2 linked regions of the Rattus norvegicus genome follow. The protein of the gene in region 1 purifies or fractionates together with the protein of each later gene. This does not show direct contact. Links are inferred from orthologs where the notes say so. Each region holds a gene or a part of one and is shown on either strand. Other genes may lie near its edges. The genes, in order: Exosc1 and Dis3l.

Region 1 (3,817 bases):
AAAGAAGAAAACTATATCACTAACAAATGAAAAGAATTTTTTCCAGTCATAACAAAATACATATGTACACATATATAAAGGCATAAGGTATTTTCAATATTACATGATTTTGTTGGTTGAGTGCCTTTAAATGAGATTCATGAGCCAGAGAATAAAAATCAGTTTCCCCAAAATAGTGTTTCAAATAGTGTACATTTTCTTTTTTGTCTTTTGGTTGAGAGTCTTACTATGCAGCCCAGGCTGGCCTCAAACTTGGGCACGAACGATCTTCCTGCCTCAGCTGCGGGAGCCTTGGGTGTTCATTACGGCATGACTATTTTTGGGCACACTGTTTCAGGAGATGGTTGCCAGCTGACTGCAGGTACCTCAGTAAAGACCATGGCATCTTATCGCTTTTTTCACACATGTACTTTTAGAGAGTGGACCCCCTCTGTGGGTAGAGTGAGCTCAGGTTTGTAAGAACTCAGGCTGTACTCTGGCTACTTTTCGGAATTCTTTAGTGTGGGTCTTGGGGCACTGCATCTCACACCAGCTGATGGGGACCATCTGGACACCTAGAAGGAAAACAAAGACGAGAGTTGGAGGTGTGACTCTAGATACTCTGCTGAGGCTCTTTTCTTTTCAGCCAGACATGACATGGCTTCAGTTCAAGAAAGCTTGCTTAGCATATGGAAGTCCGTGGGTGCCATCCCCAGCACCAAGGGAACACTTCTCTAAGGGAAAAGAAAGAAACCTTACTTACTCCATGATACATGGGGCAGTTACCTCATCTCTGACCTTTAGGGGATCAACCTAATCTCAGTAAACTGAGCTATACATTCCCCACCATTGGGACATGCTGAGATGGGATGTCATCACGGGGCAAGCACTGGCATGTACTCACACACAGTAAGACAGATGCATCACAACGTGACATTACCTTGTGGTTTTTTGTTTCTGTTTTTGTTGTTTTGCTGGAAGATGCTGGGGACTGGACCCACCATGGTATGTGATATCCATAATTGATTTTCTATATTTTTTAATATTGTTTTTTATCACATATAAGTATGTGTGTCCCTATTATTTCCCAGTCAACCCAGGTTCCCAGGAAAAGGGACTTGGGAACAAGGACTTACCTGACTCACTGTGGGCCACCACAACCCCTAACTCATTTTCAGCAGTCGTCAGCAGGTAATTGGACTGTGCATCACCTAGGGAGATCTAGTCACACCACACAGTGAAGGGAAATGAGGCTCTAAGTGCTGTTGCTTCTACTACTTAACCTTGCTTTTTTTTTTTTTTTAATTTATTTAATGTATATGAATACATTGTAGCTGTCATCAAATACACCAGAATCTGTTACAGATGGTTGTGAGCCACTATGTGGTTGCTGGGAATTGAACTCAGGACCTCTGGAAGAGCAGTCAGTGCCCTTAACTGCTGAGCCATCTCTCCAGCCCTTAACCTTGGGTTTTTATGCTTGTTTTTCTCATATGGTTTTATTTATCCAGGCCAGCCTTGAACTCCTGATCCTGTCTTCACCTCCTACGTATTATGATTATATGTTGTCATCATGCCCTGTTCCATTTCTTCTTTTGATAACTAGAAAACTGGGGAACCAAGAATGCAACTTTGGTTGGACAGTGGTGGTGAACCCCTTCAATCACAGTAATCAGGAGGCAGGTGGATCTATGAGTTCAAAGGTCAGCCTAGTCTATAGAATAAGTTCCAGGACAGCCAGGGCTACACAGAGAAACCTTGTCTCAAAAAGAAAGAAAGAAAGAAAGAAAGAGAGAGAGAGAGAGAGAGAGAGAGAAAGAAAGAAACAAACACCTCAAAAGGATACAACTTTGGCCAAAACTATATCACCTGGCCGGAAACTCTTGTAAATTTCTACCTGCAAAAAACAAAGAGAAGTAATAGACAGAGACTAGGTCTGATGGCACCACTGACCACACAGAGGAGCCAGGGGCCTAAATTCAGGCTCTCATGTTCACACAGCAGGCACTTACCATCTCCCTAGCCTACTAATACCTTTCATTAATTGGTTAATTTTTCGACAGGGTCTTACTATGTAGCCCTCGTTAGCCTAGGACTTGCTCTGTAAACCATGTTGGCCTTAAACACACAGGGGGTCACCTACTTGCTTCTCCCTCATGGGCACTGAAATTATAGACACCTACCACCATACTTGGCTAATAATTTTTAAATGAGAGTAACAGCCTAACCTTATTTCAGTCAACTGAAAAACATCTTGTATGGGAAGAAAGGACAGAGATCTAAATTTCATATTATAGTAGAAATGTACTACAAGAAAAGGTCTTTGTAGTTCTAACCATCCTAAGGCTGGCCTCAAATTCAAGAGGTCTGCAGGCTTCTGGCTCCTGAGAGCTGAAGTTAAAGGTGAGTATGCATCAATCCAGGCTGGTCGGCAGGCCATCCATCCATCCATCATCCTTTCTTTTAGATTTACTTATTAAATGTGTATATATGTGTGCATGAGTGAATGTATGTATACCACACGCATGTGGGTGCCTGTGGAGGCTAAAATAGGTTGTCAGATGCCCTAAAACTGGAATCACAGGGGGTTGTTATCCATTGTATAGGTGCTGGGAACAAAACTGGTTCCTCTGGACAAAGAGTAATGGCTCTAAAAAGGCTGAGTCCTGGGGATAATAATTTTTAAAGCAAGATTCCTAAAGTCATAGGAACAAACGCTCAAACCACTAATCACCAACCTTGTCTTTTTCAGTTGCTCGAATATCTTCCTTGCTAAAAAAAACCAAACAAACAAAAAAACCAAAGAAAGTAAGATTAGTTATTTGAGAAGGAAAGACTGAAAGCAGACAGAGTAGGCCATATTTGGTTCCCAACTGCCACAGGATGGAGAGCCATCTTTAGCATGAATGATAAAATTGTACCCTTTCTTGGACAATACAGAACAATAATATTTATAACTCTTGGCGACTGAAAGGCTTATCAGAAATTAAAGGTAATTCTTGGCTACATATGGAATTTAAGGATAGCCTGACTATAGGACTTTTGTCCAAAAAAAAAAAAAAAAAAAAAAAAAAAAAAAAAAAAACCAAAAATGAAACCAAATCAGACCAAACCACCTCCACCAAATTATCCAGTCTACAATTACTGCATAATTGTTTCCTTTCAAAGAAGCCACATAATATTTTACCTACAAACCTTTGCTACTTCTTTTTAAAGATTGATTTCACGTGTATGAATGTTTTGCCCGTGTGCATGTATGTGCAGCACACGCATGCCTATTTGGTCCCTTGCACTGGAGTTACCATGTGCGTTCTGGCAATTGAACTTGGGTCCTCTATAAGAACAAGTGCTCTTAACAGCTCAGCCATCTCTCCAGGCCCTCTCTAACGTTTTTCTTACAACCCTTGGGTTTAATCAAACCCAAAATTAAAATAAAGAATGACAAAGGTGGATAGCCAAGATGGCTCAGGGCTCAGTGTGTTGTTTAAGCCCAATGGAACCCGCATCAAAGTGGACAGAGGCAGAACTGCCTCCATCAAGTTGTCCTGGCTTTCACACATGTGTGTGCTGCAGTACGGGTCGGCACACACAGATGGCACACAGTAATAATAAGTATAATGGGAGAACAGAGAAAGAACATGAAGGCGTGTCCCACGGGCCTCGACTTTGTCTCATGCATCCCAGTGCTGCTGGTCTACCGCTTTCCTCAGTCCATTCTGAGACAGGGTCACATGCAGCCCAGGCTGGCCTCAAACTTGCTATGTAGCCAAGGTTTATTTTCAACTTCTCATGTTCCTGCCTCCATCCAGGCAAGCACTGCCTCATCTCATCTATGTGG
Region 2 (3,817 bases), on another chromosome or scaffold:
AAATCCTGATCTTGCCTGGCCAACGGGTAACTTATGAGCAAGCTACTTAACCCCGTTAGACTAAAGTTCCCAACAGTAAACTGAACGAACGCTCAGGACTCTATCTCAGCATTCTGAGGAGTAACCAGGAGGACGTCTGAAAGTCCTTGGTCAATGTGACCAGCATGCAGTCAACTCAACCAATCATTGCAGACTCTGTTGCTCGAAGACAGACGCTTAAAAAAAAAAAAAACCATTTTAACCTGACCAAAGGTATTTGAATTAGGCCCTTGTGCTTGGCAACATCATAGGTTTTTTTTTTTTTTTTTTTTTTGGTTCTTTTTTTCGGAGCTGGGGACCGAACCCAGGGCCTTGCGCTTCCTAGGTAAGCGCTCTACCACTGAGCTAAATCCCCAGCCCCAACATCATAGTTTTTAAATCCTCTTTAAGCAGCCCAGCCTCAGCCTGGTGATCCAGGTGCGTCAGGCTCTGATGCACCAATGTGCCTGGCTACAGGTCACATTTTAGGAACAACCATAAGATAAATAAACACACGGCACTCTCTGCCATGCCTCTGCCCCCTCAGTGGCGATTACCGTGTGTCTATGAAGAAGCCTTTTGCTTTTGCACATTCCCGGAGCTCTGAGAAAAACTCCTGGTGTGGAGGAGGGTGTTGGCGCAGCAGCGCCTGGTGGGGGAAGCTCTCCCAGATCTTCTTGGCCACCCAGTGGTTGGCCAGGATCATGCATTCAGCCACCGTCTCATGAACCTCCAGGGGCTGCTTGGGGATGAGGTCATGAATGTTCTTCTTGTCATCCAGCTGGACTCGAACCTCCACACCTTCTAGCTCCAAGGCGCCGCAGCGGTCTCGCTTTGCTCGGATGTGGCGAGCTATGTCAGTCAACTTCCCAATTGCCCATACTAACTCCTCCAGTTTGGCCTGTCGGTTCTGCTCCTCCAAGGTTTTGAATTCTGGAATATCATCAACAATGCTGAAGTTTCCATCCAGAAGTTCCTGGGCCGCCTCATAGAACAGTTTGTAAGCTGATCGGATAATGGTTCTGCCGTACCACACCTTCTTAATTTCATAAGAGGTTTTATCTAATTCCCACATGACTGACACAGCATACCTATAAAATGAGGGGCATCAACAGAATCATTATTCCATTCTTCACAAAGTTACAATTTATTTACTTTGTGTACGTTTACGTGTATGTTGCACATGTGAGTATCGTGACAAATGTGGAGGTCAGGGGCCATCTTGGGAGAGCCAGTTCTCTCCTTCCACCATGTTAGTCCTGAAGATCAAACTCAGACATAGCACAGGTGTCTTTTCCCACTAAGCCATCTTCATTTCTTTTTTGTAAGATTATTAATCTTTATTAATATACATAGGTATTTTGCCTGTGTATATGTCTGAATACCAGGTGTGTGTCTGCTGCTCAAGGAGGCCAGAAGAGGGTGTCAGATCCCCTGGAACTGGAATTACAGGCAGCTGTGAGCTGCTGTGTAGACGCTGGGAATCAGCCTGGGTTGTTGGGAGTTCCCTGGAAGAGTGGCCAATGCTCTTAACCGTTGAGCCATGTCTCCAGTCTAATTCCATTCTATTTTAGAAACAAGCAGAACTTGATTTTGAATTAAATTTGAAAGAAATGACCTTGCTACAGACTTTTGGTGCAATTTTTTTAATCACTCCATTACACACACAACCTATCCGTCTGTCTGTCTTGTTTGTCTTGCCCATCTGTCTGTCTGTATTCACACATTCACACACATATTTTAATGTTAAAATCAAAGTCAGGCTGGGTGTGGTGGCACACACCTTAACTCCAGCACTTGGAAGGTGAAGACAGGCTGACATTTGTGATGCTGAGGCCAGTCTGGTCCGTTTAGGGAGTTCCAGGCCAGCCAGGGCTACATAGCACTCACTATGTAACCTGTGTCAACAACAAAGTCAAAATGGGTTCTGTTAAACCCAGAACAACTCTGCAGTGAGTTCCCACACAACATGAAAAACCTTACGGCTCTCTATTTTAATTAGGAAAACTTAGCACTGACTGAGTCAAATCTGTTTAGTGCCAGGAATGGAAGAAAGCCTTTAAATCCTGCAAGATGACAGGCAGCTCAGTATCAATCTTGGTGATAGGTTAATTAACAAAAAGCTCATTTAGCAAAGAGCCACTCTGCCACCGAGACATTTTATTAAAGAAAAAAACCTATATATTTATAACATACATTTTAGAGGGGCTGATTTTCCTAGTAAAAAAGAGTTTTTACAATCAGCAGTGACTCACAAACACACATGAGAACAATAAGGACTGTGAGGCGGCTCACAGGAGAGGACACAGGACACCCTTTAACCACAGCGCTCAGCTGTGCAGAGCAGAAAAGCAGAAGTTTAAATCAAGACACTACGCGTCTAAGCTGATGTACATGAGAGGACAGCATAGTGCACCGGCAGGCTGTGGGAACAAACTCTTCACTCACTGCTGTAGGGACAGATTGCTGCAACCTCTGTGAGTGCAATCTAACTGTGTGGATCTAAACACAGAGACAGAGAGAGAGACAGAGAGAGAGACAGAGAGAGAGACAGAGACAGAGAGACAGAGAGAAAGACAGAGAGACAGAGAGAAAGACAGAGAGACAGAGAGAGAGAGGGAAAGAAAGACAGAGACAGAGAGAGAGGGAAAGAAAGACAGAGACAGAGAGACAGAGAGAAAGAAAGAGAGACAGAGAGACAGAGAGAGAGGGAAAGAAAGACAGAGACAGAGAGACAGAGAGAAAGAAAGAGAGACAGAGAGACAGAGAGAGAGGGAAGAGAGACAGAGACAGAGAGACAGAGAGAGAGGGGAAGAAAGAGAGAGAGAGAGAGAGAGAGAGAGAGAAAACCAGTGCTGGCGAGTCTCCTGTCTCAGTGATAAGCATACTGACTGCTCTTCCAGAGGACCTGGGTTCAGTGCCCAGAACCCACATGGTGGCTCACAACTGTCTGAAAGTTCAGTTCTAGGGGATCTGGTACTCTCTCTGGCCTCTGCAGGCACTAGATACACTTCTATGGTACTTATGCAGGCAAAACACTCAAGGCACATAACACAAAATAAATCTTTTTAAAAAGGAACAGAGGGGTTGTGGCTAGAGCTCAGTTGCTAAATTGCTTTGCTTAGCTCGCACTGAGCCCTGGGCTGGTCCCAGCACCGTATAAAGCAGGCACGTTGGTGCGCAGGCAGAGGCAGGAGGATCTGAAGTTAAGGTAATCCTTGGCTTCCAGTAGTTAGAGAACAGGATACCTGACACCTTGTCTAAAAAAAAAAAATCTAAGTGCTGAATAACATAGATATTTTGGGTTAGAAACAGAAGCAGTTTGCTCAGGAAGGCCAGCACCCCTTCAATGGGAGTCTCCCATTTATATCAACTGTATGCTAGTATTTTTATAAAAAAATAAAAATTACACACATCCATATCTGTGTGTATTAAAAATGGAAAAAAAATATTCAGTACCCAGGAAAAAATAGGAAGGTGCTTTGATCTCTTGGAGCTTCCTAGTGTTGGAGTGGCTGCCTTACGTGCGCACTAATAAACAGAAACTCCCTACGCCCAGGGGCCTTCTGAAGAGCAGTATCCACTGGAGAGCTTACTAAGTTCTCCTCAGCCTGTGGATGGCTTCAGAAAGCTAACATCAGAGCAGAGAGAAAGGAGGAGGCTGGAAATAAAGCTCCCTGAAAGCATATCTGGGAGGGAAGAAGTCGGAGGGGAGGGCGCTCCCAAGGCAGTGGGCAGGGTGTGGGTGGAGGGAGAGCACACTGAAGGCAGACAGCTCTGAAGGTGAAATCAGACTCAC

Evidence for each region.
Region 2: the proteins of Exosc1 (region 1) and Dis3l purify together in Homo sapiens (affinity purification with mass spectrometry; 4 studies listed by BioGRID and IntAct, counting the BioPlex papers as one, with this or other methods). This does not show direct contact. The link is inferred for Rattus norvegicus from reciprocal best matches to the Homo sapiens genes EXOSC1 and DIS3L.

Annotation. Positions count from the first base shown.
Region 1 is NC_086019.1:250,684,730-250,688,546, forward strand, and holds the end of Exosc1 (exosome complex component CSL4), read right to left. Parts: intron 2,752-3,817; coding exon 2,718-2,751; intron 1,877-2,717; coding exon 1,826-1,876; intron 1,201-1,825; coding exon 1,116-1,200; intron 555-1,115; coding exon 448-554; 3' UTR 21-447; downstream 1-20. UniProt on the Homo sapiens protein: Non-catalytic component of the RNA exosome complex which has 3'->5' exoribonuclease activity and participates in a multitude of cellular RNA processing and degradation events.
Region 2 is NC_086026.1:73,704,300-73,708,116, forward strand, and holds part of Dis3l (DIS3-like exonuclease 1), read right to left. Parts: intron 1,110-3,817; coding exon 576-1,109; intron 1-575. UniProt on the Homo sapiens protein: Catalytic component of the RNA exosome complex which has 3'->5' exoribonuclease activity and participates in a multitude of cellular RNA processing and degradation events.